Lepisosteus oculatus: one gene and its partner. The protein of the gene in region 1 interacts with the protein of each later gene in a pairwise test. Links are inferred from orthologs where the notes say so. Each region holds a gene or a part of one and is shown on either strand. Other genes may lie near its edges.

What was found. The genes of interacting proteins can lie anywhere in the genome.
Region 2: the proteins of cdkn2d (region 1) and nuclear receptor subfamily 4 group A member 2 interact in binary tests that used the Homo sapiens proteins (3 or more experiments, as listed by UniProt). The two-hybrid records come from large-scale screens. The link is inferred for Lepisosteus oculatus from reciprocal best matches to the Homo sapiens genes CDKN2D and NR4A2.

Annotation. Positions count from the first base shown.
Region 1 is NC_090706.1:16,474,136-16,481,621, reverse strand, and holds the start of cdkn2d (cyclin-dependent kinase 4 inhibitor D), read left to right. Parts: upstream 1-4,429; 5' UTR 4,430-5,383; coding exon 5,384-5,521; intron 5,522-7,486. UniProt on the Homo sapiens protein: Interacts strongly with CDK4 and CDK6 and inhibits them.
Region 2 is NC_090707.1:12,359,811-12,367,889, reverse strand, and holds the start of nuclear receptor subfamily 4 group A member 2, read left to right. Parts: upstream 1-5,006; 5' UTR 5,007-5,175; intron 5,176-6,320; 5' UTR 6,321-6,427; intron 6,428-6,898; 5' UTR 6,899-6,900; coding exon 6,901-7,767; intron 7,768-8,079. UniProt on the Homo sapiens protein: Transcriptional regulator which is important for the differentiation and maintenance of meso-diencephalic dopaminergic (mdDA) neurons during development.

The DNA.
Region 1 (7,486 bases):
ATGCACTTGGCATGTTCAGTCAAACCTGCTGGTGCCCGGCTCAAGACATATTAAAATGCGCGGTTCAAGAGTGCCCCTGGAAAGCTGGTGGCGCAAGCAGCACGAGGCTGGATTGGAGACGAGGAAGATCACCGACAAAATGGACATAACGGAGCAAAAAAGAGAAATGCACGTTAAAAAATTCAACACTTCCATTAAGTCTTAAGTCCTACGGTGGCAGCTGAAGGGAAACTACTGAAAGGCACAGAAAATGACCCTTGTTAGGTCATCGGAACTTGGCAGCATAAGACCCCACTTTTATTAAGACTCTTACATGAAGTACATTGAGATTAATTATAATGAGAATTATTATTATTAATATCATTATTATTATTATTAAACCAGGGTTTCCCTAAGGACTAGAGATGAAAAAGCCTCTAACGCTGTCAGCTAGAGCTCTCTTCAGTCCACTGGCAGTCCAGCTTGCCTGACTGTCTGCTCCTGTGTCTCACTCCTCACCCAGGGAGGGAAGGAGTTCCTGATGCGCGCGCACTTTGGCCTGCCCAGCGTGGAGAACGATGAGGCGGAGGGAAAGCCGCCCATCACGGTCAACTTCGAGATCCCATACTTCACTGTGTCTGGAATCCAGGTACATTTATATACCCACTCCCCCCCAGATCAAGACCGAGAGACCACATTGATGAAACGCCCATCCATCCATTTGCTAACAGCTCAGGGTACACCCTGGATGGAACAGCAGTCCGTCACCGGTGGACAGACACACACACTCACACCAGGGCCAATTGTTCCAGAAGCCAGTTAACCTACCAGTAGGTCTTTGGACTGTGGGAAGAAACCAGAGCATTCATGGAACAAATTTTACCATCAACATCTACAATGTATAGATGGTGACCTTACAATCTTCATAAAAATCTTGCACCTTGTGGTTTAATTTAAATTCTAATCAATGCTAGTTCAATAAAGAAACAAAGACCTGCCGTGAATTAACTTCTTGGGGCTCTTGCCCAAATCTCTAAGGACCCACCATTATCCCCACACAAACCTGGAAAAGCAGAACTTTTTTGAAGAGACCAAATAGTAATGCAGTTTGTTGGTAATAAGATACATTCTCAGAATGCCTTGCCCCCTTGACTAGCTTTGGAAAGCTGACAGTTTGTTGTACTTGTGTCAAGTTTATACCTGTGTTTTTTCCCAAGAAAATCACATGAGGGACTTTCAGCTCATGAGTTTTGTAGAAGACTTATCGTAGAGACCCTGTTAGTTCTGAAAAGCTGTTATGAACAGGTCCCAAATCTCTCTCATTAATCTGCAGTTGCTGTCTGACTGGGTGATGTTTTGTTAAGTACCACCGGTGGGGGTTTTGATCCCTGTCTTTGCTGGGCAGGAATGTGACTAACGGCATGCGTTTCTGTCAGGTGCGGTACATGAAGATTATTGAGAAGAGTGGCTACCAAGCCTTGCCCTGGGTCCGATACATCACGCAAAGCGGAGGTACGATGTGCTTTCTTACACGATCCCTTTCATCATTCACTCATCCATCCATTTTCTAACCATTTCTTCCAATTCATGGTCATGAGGGAGGTGGGGCCTATCCCAGCATGCAACTGGCACACGGCAGGGTACAGCCTGACTAGGGCGCCAGTCCATTGCAGGGCACAGAAAGACACAGACACACATGCACACTCACACCAGGGTCCATTTTCCCAAAAGCCAATTAACCTACCAGCATTGTGGGAAAAAACCCATGTGAACATGGGGAGAAGATACAAACTCCACACACACAGCGCTCGAGGAGCTGAACCCAGGGCCCCAGTGCTGCGAGGCAACAATGCTCACCACTTCCCCACCGTGCCACCCACCTTCACATATCCTTGGCATCATTTTATTTTCACACCTCTTAATTCACTCATTTATTTTACATTTCTTGTGGCTTGACAAAACCATTTAACAGCTGGTGCCATTGTTTACCACAGTTCCTTTCACTCTCTTGCATGGAAAGAGATGGTTGGTGTGTGAACTGAGGAGTTTGTTTCTTGTGATCAATGCGTCTGTCTGTCTCCCATTGTTGGTCTCTGTGCTGCTGGTTTTTCACCAAATGAGTCAGTGGGTGTGTGAACAGGATATCTCTCACTTCCTGCCTGATGTGAAAGTCAGCCCTTTTCTTTATCTAATGCATTTTGAGGAAAGAAAAAAATTGTCCTCAACAGGCTTTTAATAATAATAATAATCATAATAATTGCATATATAGCGCTTTTCTGGACACTCCACTCAAAGCCCTTTACAGGTAATGGGGATCCCCTCCACTACCACCAATGTGCAGCATCCACCTGGATGATTTGACGGCAGCCATAGTGCGCCAGAACGCTCACCACACATCAGCTATCAGTGGGGAGGAGAGCAGAGTGATGAAGCCAGTCCATAAATGGGGATTATTAGGAGGCCATGATTGGTAAAGGCCAGTGGGAAATTTGGCCAGGATGCCAGGGTTACACCCCTACTCTTTTCGAGAAACGCCCTTGCATTTTTTAAATGACCACAGAGAGTCAGGACCTCGGTTTTATGTCTCATCCGAAAGACGGCACCTATTTACAGTATAGTGTCCCCGTCACTATACTGGGGCATTAGGACGCATGCATTAGCAGCCTTAGTTTTTCCCAGGAGATCTCCCATCCAGGTACTGACCAGGCTCACACCTGCTGAGCTTCTGTGGGTTGCCAGTTGTGAGTTGCAGAGTTGCATTTTAAGAAATGAAGAGCAGAGAGGATGAAAATGGAGTTTGAAAAGCAAACCATGTTATTTGAAATCTCCCATTTATTTCAGATTACCAGCTGAGGACCAACTCCTAGAAATATTCCCTGGGCAAAAGAGTCAAGGACCTGCGGTTTCATTGAACAAGCGACCAAAACGGTGCCTTTGTATTTATAAAGAGCAAATTTCTCAACTTTTTTTTTTAAATGCATAGATTTTGAATGATTTGATTGTGTAGACCCGGCCTTCCTCCCCTACTGTCTCCCCTTAGCCATCCACCCAGGGCTGCCTCAGCACGGCTGCCCTCCTGGTCAGCTTGTCTGCATGCAGTGCTTCGGTACAGCCAAGCCCTTACGAGTCCTGTGACCCTCCTGGTTATCAGATAAGTGATGTGGGAACTGGATGGAGCCCAGTTAAACACTGGACTGGAGAGGCATGATTGCAAGCTGAGCAGCCCTGCTGTCCAGATAGATATTTTTGTGATCATTTTAGGTCAGGGTTCTGGAAGGCTGCTGTGCTCATAACTGCCCATTTCCACTAATTATTGTCTTAATTGAACCATGTTAACGATTCCCAAATCATTAAGGCAGGGATTTCCACTGCTGGTCCTTGTCCTTGTCTGGTGGTTTTCATTCCAGCTGGACTCTTAACAGGCTAAACTGAACTTGTAATTTAATTAGACCACAATTCAATTTAATCTTTGCCGCTCCTTAAAGGTTGCAGCTTGCAAATTACTCAAGAAAGTTTTGCAATTCTTTAAATACGTCAAATGCTGGGGCACAAATAATTGAGCTAGAACCAAAATCTGGCAAACTGTGGTCATAAGGATCTGGAGTGAGGAGACCTGTATTAGAGTATCCAAGAGCAAGGGTGTGAGACTCCACTCCTTGAGGGCTTAGTATATCCTGGTTTTTGTTGTACCCAAGCTCTCAGTTTCATAGAGGTATCTGTTTTTAAATACACTATAAGCTTTGCAAATGGGTTGTAAGAACTGAACAGTATCCACTTCAGCCTGCCTGTAGTGCTATTGTAACATATACAGTATATTTTTACTTTCAAGAAATGTGAGGAAGAAAGGAAATGCTCCCTGTTTTGGCTTAAGCGTCCAATTAGGCTTTAGTTTGATTCCATTGATTAATTTAGGAAGGCAAGGGGTTGGAATCTGCTAAACTCTAGATCAGGAGTCACAAACTCAGTCCCTCGAGGGGCTCTGTGTCGTCAGTTTTTTTTTGTTTCAACCCTAGGAGCTAATTAATTAACCTGATTGTTTTCAAAATTAAACCTATAGAGGATTTTTTAAGATTAATTACACAAGACACATTAAAGGTGCAGTTACCTATAAACTGCCTTGTTAGATGCCATTTTGTAGGAAGTCACATACTGTTGCTTTGATGGTGTTGGTTGTAATTTTGCTTTGATTCTAATCGAGTGATTGTAAATAATACTGTGTGAGTCTTGAGCGTTGTTAAAATTACACAGAAGCCTGCATGATTACCAGATCATTTCTTTCCAGACTTTGTTTGTGTAAAGCTTAGTTTTTTTTGTGTAATTTTAACTAAAATTAAAATACCGTAATAACCAATGGAAAAAATAACGTACATGTATGTGGCATTCTTTCAGACTAAAACATTAAGAAATCCCCTACTGCACTACTTGTAGAACTAACGCTATTCCCGAATGTAAACGTTAATAATAAACAGATCATGTTTTATGCATAGGCAGACAGTCGAGAATATAACGATTATAATTTAAGTATTTAAAGGCTCATGTAGTCTGAGATATAATTTAGGGTGTGAAATGTCAGCAAATGCACAGGGCGTTATGAACCGCCTTTTTTTCTTTGCTTCGTAGGAGCTTGTAATTCAAGTTCTTAGCGGTTTAGTTCTTCTGCCGTATGAATGAATTTGCTTAACTACTCCGTTTAATTGAATAGCCCGCCTTCTCATATTCGTTTCCTATTGGTTCATTGTTCAATCGTTACGAGGTGATACGATGACCGTCAAACCCCGTCTCCGCCTTTTTTGCCTTATTTGGAACCACATTTTCCCGACAGTCGGCGATGATTGGCGGAACACGTTCTGAAAATCCAAAGCCGGTTTGTCTAAATTTAACCACTCGGGTCCCGCCGCACAAAAGGAGCAACTGGGCGAAAGCGGACGCGGTACTGGAACAAAATGCAGCTCTTTGTTGTTGTTGTTGTTGCTGTTCTTGAGACTGATTGTAAAACCTCTGCTGCTGATGAAAAGAAGGAAAACTGAAACTCGGCGAAGGGGAGGATACGATCTGTCAGGGTGGTTCATATTCCTCAGGTTCTGGAGTAGCCGTGGCGCAAGTGTACAGGTCACGTATGCGTGATGCTAATGTATGTAGGGCGGCACGGTATATATTTATAGACCGTGATTTGATTAAAACTGTGTAGGCTGATCCGAGCCGGAAGAACAGCCATATATTTCAAATCAAAGTGCGCTTAGTGAGAAGACGAGATACAGAATAACTTGCGTGAGCCAGGTTAAAAGGGGGTTAACAGCCGAGGGGACATTTAAAACGTAGTAATTCAATTCTAGAAACGCCCATATTTAAGCGGTCTCCCGGAAAGGACCAAGTTTTTTAGGTAAAGGAAACGGCATCATCCACTATGGTCCTGGGTGACCCAGACGCTGGGAAGATGCTCTCGGCCGCGGCGGCGAGGGGAGACCTTCTCGGGGTTCGGAGGATGTTGCAGAAAGGGGTACACCCCGACACCCCCAACGAATTTGGGAGAACCGCCCTGCAGGTGAGGAGGGTGTTTGACCGTGATGGTTCAGTTACATCTCATGAGAAATCTTGTGCAAGGGATGGGGGATGGGGGGTCAGTCAGGGGTCCTCAAAGAAAATGTGCCCCTTAGGAAAGGGGGGGAACCCCAGAAACAGATCAAAGAAAACGGCCATTCCAAGGGATCTGCTGTGACAGTGCGCGTGGCGGTGGATGGAAGCACCTTGATCTGTTGTGTGCAGCTGTTTGACTTCCTGTGATTGTCCCCGATGGGATATATGCTTTGCACGCAGGCGAAAAACATAAGACACTACACAATGCATTGAACGCAACATAATCCCATTAACAAATAAGACAGGCACACATAAATGAGACAGAAAAAATAACAATAAAGTAAAATATACAGTTGTCCAAATTAAGCATGTTAACAGCTGAGGAAATAAAAGCTAATTTAGTTCTATTGCAGTGGAATCTGGGGAGTCTAAATTGATGCCCAGATGGAAGGAGTTTAGACTCACTGTGCAAGGGGCAGTCATGACAGTCAGTGATTATTTCTGCACTGTGTGTTTGGGTACAGTAGATTTCTGACAGCTGTAGCTGTCGTCCTCCAGTAATGTTGCTGGCTACCTTCACACTCCTGCTCAGTGTGTTTTTATTGCGTGGATGCTTGTTGCACTGTGTAGAAAGCGTAGCGCACTTGGAACCTAGCGTTGGTTATTGCACTTAATTGTGTTTTAGAAAACAAAAGAGTACTGGAATTACTGTTTGAAGTGATGAGGTGATAAAACCGATGCGATCTGCAGTGTATGAATTCTGCTATCGTGTGAACCAGTATTTCACCTTAAGGGGTTGATGTTTTTGCTAACGCACATCTAGTCTAAGAAAAAGAAAAACAAGCTTGTCAGTTTTTCTCTTCCTTCTAAGGCTCACTAAGTAAACTTGTTCTGTCAATCATGTGATAATAAAAGTAAAATTCGGAAGGTAGAGCTAGCTAGTTGAGGATGAAAACCCTCCTAGTATATTATAAATAAGATGATCTGTAGACTAACTGATGGCATTTGAAGAACAGATTGTTACTGGTATTGTGAGCCAATATCCACAGGGCTCTCCTTTAATCCCAACCCAGATTACACAGGTCATTAGAAGATTTAATCACCCAATTAAAAGTTTTAGTCATGCTTTGGATTAAGTTGTATAGATGAAGATTTAATATTATTATAATAAGCCATTTGATATACGTTTCCACTGAAGTTCGGTATGTGATGATTTTAGAGCAAGGGTACAGTTAACTCTTATACAGGTGTAGTATAATGTACTGTTATAGTTAGATTAAATGTTGACCAACTCCTTCTGTAGCTAGTGTCGACACCTGCAGTTCCCTGAGCGTGGAACCAAGTGGGAGAAAAGTGTAAAAAAAATGGTTGTTTGCAGAGCTGTAGGTTGTCTGTGAGACATGTTGATCAAATAAATCGCAAGGTTTACTTTAGGTAATTAATTTCTGGGTAAATCATTAAGAGGCCAGGAAAGCAGGATGGAAAGAGAGGAGAGGACAGAAAGCAAGAAACGGGAGAGGAGGGGGAGACACCGGAGGCGAGAGGTGTTTGTTCACATCAAACTCAAAGCCCAGCTTCTCGTTCAGTATTTGAATTCTCTTAAGGAAACCTGCTGTTCTGTTGTTTTTGCGAAAATCCGATTTCCTGCATTAAGAATCCCCTGGTTAAAAATGACCTCTCCTGGTTATGAATGCATGTTTTAGAATAGGGAGGTTGGTTTCCATTTGCTTTGTAGCACTCAGTTTTACATATAAAGAGAGAGAATAGCTGCTAGGTGATATTTTGTTTGGCTTAGAAGAAAGGTTTCTCTCTCCTTTTGGCCTGTGTGGGGGTTTAACAGTCTGTTTAGGACTTGGTAACAGTCTGTGTTTTTCTGATTGGTCAGGACATGGGCTTCTGAGACACCTTGCTTGAAAGATAGAGTAATTTGAAT
Region 2 (8,079 bases), on another chromosome or scaffold:
GGTTCCCTAAATTAATTAGCTTTGTAAGAGTAAAGAAAAAATTACACTGTAGCAGATGTCTAGCTAGTCTCAAACCTTTTGCCCTAGAGTTCACAGACAAAAATGCACCAGAGGAAACTCATCCGAACAATCGCAACTCGGCATTAAGAGCAGGAAGAGCGATGAAGAGATGCTGTGTGTGTTATGGATGTCATGCGTTTGCATCAACAAAAACATTAACACTGATTGTTATCATTTTAACAATATTTTGAATATTAGTTTATCACCTTGATTATCACAGATGATCAAGAATGTTGTGGTGGAAATAATAAGAAAATATTAACTGAAAATAAGTGAATCAATAAACTATTCTTAAACCACCAAGAACATTGGGCCAAACAGTTGAACAGATGTTTTTTTTTTGTTCTCAAATACCTCGGTGTGTTCCTAGTTTTCAGAGTAAATACAATATAAAGCTGTTGGGAACTTGTTCAAAATATGTAATGGGTTAAACAATAACTTGAAAAAGAGTGAAACCTTTGAAGTTTGAGGTTGACAGCAGGTCAAGGCAGTATTCGCTCCCTGTTCACTGAATGCAGCACACCGCCACAGTTTAAAGAAGAATTTACAAATTCATTCCTTGACCAAGGCAAGTGACCAAGGGGAAAGGAATAAGATTACCTCCATTCTGCCTCAGTTCTGTCCTTACAATTGGACACTTTTTGAAGTTGTATTTGTTTTTCACATATTTCTTTTGCATCACTCAGGTTGTATATTTATGCACCTTAACTGCATACAAGTAGGCAGTTCTATTTTTTGTGCGATAATCTTGGAAGGTCCAGAAAACATCAGTCCATTTTTGTTAGTTACTTTACCAAGTACAGGGTTGCAGTGAAGTTTATAGCATCTCTAGTGAAAAACAAGAAATGCCATAATCATTGAAATTCAGCAGCTCGTATTGTAGCTTGTAGCATTCCCTTTTCTCTCTCACGCTATTTAAAAATTAATTAATAATGCAAAGTGTTCAATTCTTAGATTTTTAACATATGGACACTAAAAAAAAAAGAAAATCAGCCAAGTGAAGAAATCAGAACTTTGTGTTTCTTTAGGATTGACAGACACAAAATAAACCAAATTTCCCCACCAGTCTTGTTTTAAACCGCCCTATCCTGCATTCAGTACTAACCTTCAGTGTGCTAGCAGACCATTATCAAAATTCATTATAAGAACATGCTTCCTGGTTTCGGGACAGCACCAGTGCCTTAATTCTTTGATGCTATGGTAACAACTGAAAAGCTGAATTCTGCTATTTCTCGTGGAAATGTAACAGAGCTGTGCAGCACCAGATTACTTCTTATAGTCTTGGTTGTGGCGGATTTCTGTGGGTGAAAAGTGATAGCGGACTAAAAGTTCATTAAAGCCGTTTGCCAGGTTTACAAGAGTGTCATATTGAATGATGCACTTGGGCACAATACAGATCTGGAATTTTGCTTGTGAGGCTTCACTTTTCCAGCCAAACCAAGCAAAGTACAAAAATCGCCTTTGTAGAGAAAAAAATGACAAGTGGCGATTCCCAGTGCCATTCCTAAATTGTCCAATATTCAGTAGGTGCCTGTTGATATCAACCAAAGGATTAAGCTCTGTCCTGCTGGCAGTGTTTGCTCATTAGATTCTTGTTAAGCCTGGTCTAGGTATTGTGCACGAGCCTTGTGCTACTCCTTCATGTGGAAGTTCAGATGCTGGGCTGCCATTTCAGTCAGGCATCATCCAACAGTGACATGTTTTAAATTGGTAACTGCTTCATTTGCCATTTTTGATCATTTATATAGATTATGTTTTGATTGTATTTGTAACATCTCCAATAACATTTGAAAAAAGAAAGAAGTGAAAGAAATAGTGTATCGAAAAACAATGAACATCTATCATAATATATTTCACACTAGTATCATTAACAACTACAGAATATCACTGATGGCTGATTTTGTGCCACATTATTTTAGCAATTAACCAATACCATTGCCTATAATGGCTGAAGGTTTCAATGTGGATTCCACCTCTTACAGCCTGATGTGAATTCATTTTCTAGATTTCCTAGCTAGAAAAAAAACAATATAGTTGTAAGACATGTCTATTTAGTTATCACAATTTGCTAGCAAAAAAATCATCTTTCAACTTTCGTAAAGAAATGCATTTATTTAAAAAAATCAGTGTAGATGTAATCTAAAGAGTGGTGTAATACTACAGTTGTATAAGGATGCACGTGTTATAGTATTCACTTACAGTACCGTAAATATAGTACAGTATCCGATCTTACCATGCACACGCTCTGTGAAGTTCAAATAATCATTTATCGCTAAAGAATAATGGCAGCACATTTATCTTTAAAACGAGAAAGTGCTGAAAAAACGCAGCATTTTAAATGATTCCTAATGATCCTATCTTAAAGTGATATTTGAAGAACCGCCACTTAGTCTCGTAACTAAAAAACATTTTGTGAAACTAGCAATAAAGCATGTCTATGTACTATGTACTATACTAAAAATGTGTTGTATTATGTTATATACCGTATACTGTGCTAATCTACTTTCTCTCATATACAGGGGCGCCTGGGCAGTGAAGTGGTGATGTTTGTAAACGTGCTGATGGGCAATGAAGAACACCGTCCTCTGCTGGAGAGAGCAAACGTCCAGGAACAGTCCTAGTCTCATGCGCCGTAATGGACACAAATACTGTGGGCAGTGAATTTTATTTATTTTGATCAGTACCCCACAGCTGTCTGAAACGGGCATGTTACCACATTAGTGATATTCCTGTAAGTAGTTCATGTGTTCATGAACTGACGAGGGCTGGTAGCATGCTACCTTGTGGACATCATTGCAATTCAAAAAACGTAGGATTTATACCAGTATTAGAAATACTGCTCTTTATTGCTGGATTTCCAATAAAGAAACTTTGAAATGAACACGGATGTTGCGTTTTTTTTCTAACAATCGAAAGGCTGGCACGAAAAGCTTGAACACTGACAAAAGCGAATCGACGTTAATCTTTGAATTATGTGATTGAATGCGCTTTTCACCCCCTGTGGCTCCCTCAATGTGAATACAGTGCAAGGTTAGACTGCAGGATCGTTTATTGTATTAAACTCGGATGCAAGTGAGTGGATGGGTTTTGAATCACTGACGTAGCACGCAAGAAAGTTTCATTTTCCGAGTTAATGTTATCAAATTATGAAACGGTGCGCACCAGACTGTGCTCTATAAACACAACCCAGTCGATATCTAGAGAAAAAGACTAGCATTTTAAGGTTGACACGTGTTTTACAGACAAACGGCGAAAGCTAGCTTGATGACTGAAAAGCAATCCCTTCATTTCCCCAAGTACAGCGCAACAAGTTGCTGCATGGGATTTATGCAGAAATATGGCTCCTGCGCTAAGCACCAAAGTTCACCCGTGCTTTCAATTTAGAAAAAACAACAACGTGGTGTTGTTCTGGGATAAAAATAGACCACTTCTTTCTTTAATTATGTATTCTCCAGTTTCCGATCGCAGCTAAAATAGTCGGTGGAAGCACGGCCCATTATAAGATCAATAATAGAGTCCTACTGTAATAATAATAGAGCACCAAAAACAAGAAAAGGCTGTGACTGCTATTTTTGGCAGAGACTGTTGGTTGCGTCAAAGGCGGCGTTCCCTGCGTCATGCACCATTCTGCCACCCCCTATCACTTTTTCCCTTTCGTTCGACTAAATTGGTTCGCCCACGACAACTGACGCTGCTCCGCTGTTAATGAGCTCCCTCTGTCTGCTCTCACAACACAAGCAGCTGGGAAAATTAAGGTAGTCACGTACTGAGGTACACACCCACTCTTTTTAGAGGTCTAAATTTGGAAACGCATGTAAATCAGTTAGATGTGTAGCAAGATAGAGGAGGGCTGAGAACAATCCCATATATAATACAAATTAGATACATTATTTGAAATGTGGCAGATTGTGTACTTCACAAGAAATGGCAACTTTCTGACTGCCTCTTGTATCCACAGACCGTGAGTTGAAGGGTGCAGTGATTCATGTTGGACAGAGGGTGGTAGTTTACGAGGGAAAAATAAACATCTGTAATCATGTGTTTCTAGAGTTTCAATTCATCTGAATTGGACCTCAATCATTATTATAATGACTTTTATAAATGTAAGTATTCCGTATGTGCAACGACTGAGTACTACACGGTATAAAATATTGTGAACGCGTGCTATAAAGACCTGCAGGACCAGCATTTGGCACGGAAAACAAAAATTAGGATAACATTCACACAGTATTATCACCGAATCTATAATACAGTTTCATTATGCCGAAGGACATCAGAGTGTATTTCAAATTGTTGTTGTTTTTTTTCCGCATATTTACGTGATTGCAGGCAATGTTACTGTACTGTCAAGGGGTTTACTCCCTAAAGCAAACTTACATCTAGTTCCACACTTGACGGGACGCCTCACTTTTCTGAAGACGCTTCAACATGCCAATAACCTCTACCCCCCCTCCCCCCCCAAAAAAAAAAATCAAATGCATAAAATAAACGGGTTTATATTTGACCAGATTGTAATATCTGCCAGAGTTCTCTTGACAACTTCATTAATGTCGTGTCTCACATCTGCTTCTGAGGCGACAGCGTATTCCGAAGGCCACACACAACGCCGCTTACTTCCAGAAGGGAGACACATCATGGTAAGCAAAAACGCAATTGTTAAAATCCATTACTGGAATATCAGACTTGTATACCATTTTACACCTGTTTACAAACATTACGTTTCTGGGTTTTCTGATTTGGGAACGGGTGAAGCGAACCGTGGTACCCTACTACCTTAAAACGCTGCTCAGCTTAATACGTCAAGGAATTGGCCAACAGCACGGAGAAGTCTAACCCCCCCTCGAGACACTGATTGGCCTAAGTCATTGACGATGCCGATGACGTAGAATTTTTTTGTGGTATTCAGAGCTCACATAAACAAAGGCACATTGGAGGGAAGGACCAGTCTCGGCTTGTGTCTTGTACTGTTCTGTGCGATAGCCGCACTTAATCCTATTCTGTTTGTTCTCACAACTGTTCTGTCGCTTATTGTTTGGGGCTCTTTTTTTATAACTACGTTAGACCACTACTAGCAGATCTTCTGCATGGATAGCACGGGACGCTGCAGTTAAAAAGGTATATTTTATTCTATTTTGCTATATGGGCTTGGATTGAATAAGCTATTTCACAGCATCATCTACAGCCGCTAACTATTCAACATGATTTGTGCGTGTTGTATTGTGTATGCAATTTTTTTTTCATAATTGTGATATGTTGGGCGAAAGAATTACTTACGTATACAATTGATACTCGTAGGAAGATATGGCTAATGACAGTAACGTACATTAATAGCAATGATAAAATGTTGAGAATAGATGGCAATAAAAACGACCATTAATTGAAAGTGTTACTGTTACTTTTATCGGTTGTCAGGTACTTTAAAATGTTCTTTAGTTCGCCTGCTTTGTTACGGAAGTCATTTTAAATGTCGATAATGTGTTGACCATGTTATTGAAAAGATAAAGCAACTTCACATGTAGTGTACAATCGCTGTCTCTCTTACTACTGCGAAACCGTTAAAACTCTTTTTCCTTTGCATTTGACTGATGTGGCTAAAACTATTCTCTAACTCACCTGCTGACTCCACCTTGTTCTTCTGTTCGCCTACTGAGTTGGATTGGCGATTTCACAGCTTTCAGACACGTGAATGACAGTATAAGCCGGTATAATTAGCTGCTTAATAGCAATTGCGGTTATTATTTTTGACAGTTCTCAACTACAAATGCACTACTACCTCTACTGCTAATAACAGCAAAAAATAAGTTTAGAGAGAATAGAATAATACATAATTGTAAAAGCAGCAAAATACAAATATTCAGAAAACTTTATGTACATGCTTCATATTTAAAGTGTGACTCCTGTTGAAACTCACGCGTATATATAACCATGCTTTCTGTTTATCCCTGTTAATGATGCTTCTTTCAAATAACAATATAACATTGTGCTTCATGAAATATCTGACATGGAATAAGGAAACAAAAATGACCTAAATAAAATGAAGAAATATTATTTCCATTTATAAGCGTGAAGATTGTTACATTACGCGAAACCATTCAGATTTTTATTATATGTAGCTTTTTTTGTATTGGATACATTGTTTTGTTTACATGTTTTGTTTACAAAGAAACTCTTTTAAATAAGCACTTGCATACATATGTGCACTGTCCATTGTAACGGAAAAATGAACAGGGGTTATAAACTACATTTCTTCTGTATTACAGGGAAGAGTCCCGAGGCGCGCTACTTTCTCGAAACCTGAACTTCAAACAAGACTAAACGACACTGTCCAATTCAAGTTCCTCCGGAAAACACAGTCCGTCGACTGAAGGTATGGAGTATTAATATTGTTTCTGTAAATGAAAACTATAAATGTTTAACCTAGTCAAAAGCAACACGTACAATGCATTTTAATAACAGTGGAAGCGTCATGTTGTAGTGTCTTTTATTGATAATAAAATGCAGCATGTTTCAGAATACATCATCACGGATTTCTCCTGCACATCTACTGTATATATTCAGAGATTAATACAGACATGCTACCCTTTTCATATGATATTTTTTTAAATGAAATACTATGTTGTTGGCTAGTTGCTCTTTTTTCTGCATCCAAAAATATAATTTAAAGATGTGTGCATGGCTTTATTTTGTTAATGAAATGTAAGTGAAGACATTGGATTTGTTAAATATTTTATCTAGACAATGGCATGCTACATTTTTGGATGTTTAAGAGTAAATCAAGCCTGTGCTTGGAGGGTGATCGCTTTGACAGTGTGAGCATTTGTGAAACTTTCATTTACAGCCATGCCCTGTGTTCAGGCTCAGTATGGGTCATCACCTCAAGGAGCCAGTCCAGCTTCGCAGAGCTACAGCTACCACACCACTGGAGAATACAGCTCCGATTTCCTAACTCCTGAGTTTGTTAAGTTTAGCATGGACCTGACCAACACTGAGATCACAGCCACCACTTCTCTTCCCAGTTTCAGCACATTCATGGACAACTACAACACCAGTTACGACGTAAAGCCTCCCTGCTTATACCAAATGCCTCTTTCTGGACAGCAGTCCGCCATCAAGGTGGAAGACATTCAGATGCACAGCTACCATCAACAGAGCCACCTGCCACCACAGGCTGAAGAGATGATGCCCCATTCTGGCTCAATGTACTACAAGCCCTCCTCGCCCCCTACTCCCACTACCCCCAACTTCCAGGTTCAGCCCAGCCCTATGTGGGATGAGCCTGGTTCGCTCCACAGTTTCCATCAAAACTACGTGGCCACCACTCATATGATAGATCAACGCAAGAATCCCGTGTCAAGGCTTTCCTTGTTCTCGTTTAAGCAGTCACCTCCTGGTACCCCGGTGTCAAGCTGCCAGATGAGGTTTGACGGTCCTCTTCACGTACCTATGAACCCGGAGACACCGGGTGCCCATCATGTGGTAGACAGCCAGAGCTTTGCCGTCCCCAGTGCTATTAGGAAGCAGGCAAACATAGGCTTCCCACACTCTCTTCAGCTCGGACATGGGCCCCAGCTGATGGACAGCCAGGTCCCGTCGCCTCCGTCAAGGGGATCGCCTTCCAACGAGGGTCTGTGTGCAGTGTGCGGGGACAACGCCGCTTGCCAGCACTATGGAGTGCGTACTTGTGAAGGGTGCAAAGGCTTCTTTAAGGTAGGGTGGACTACGGTATCATTTCTCAAGCATAGCAATATGAAACGGCAGCTTTTGTCTGAAGCTGGATTTGTACAATCCTTTAACTAGCTAATGTTAAAGAAAAATTTTATCATGACGACCACAGATGGTACAACATTTAAAAAGAAGAAAAATAAGAGGCATTTCCCTCACAGCGACAGCGTTCAGAAAATCTTGTACATTAAAAATTACTATTTAATTGTGGGCACTTGTGTGCATTTTTGACACAGCCCTTTCCCTTAGAATTAAATTGGCTGGGACAGAGAACCGTGTCTAAGCTAACCAAGTGGA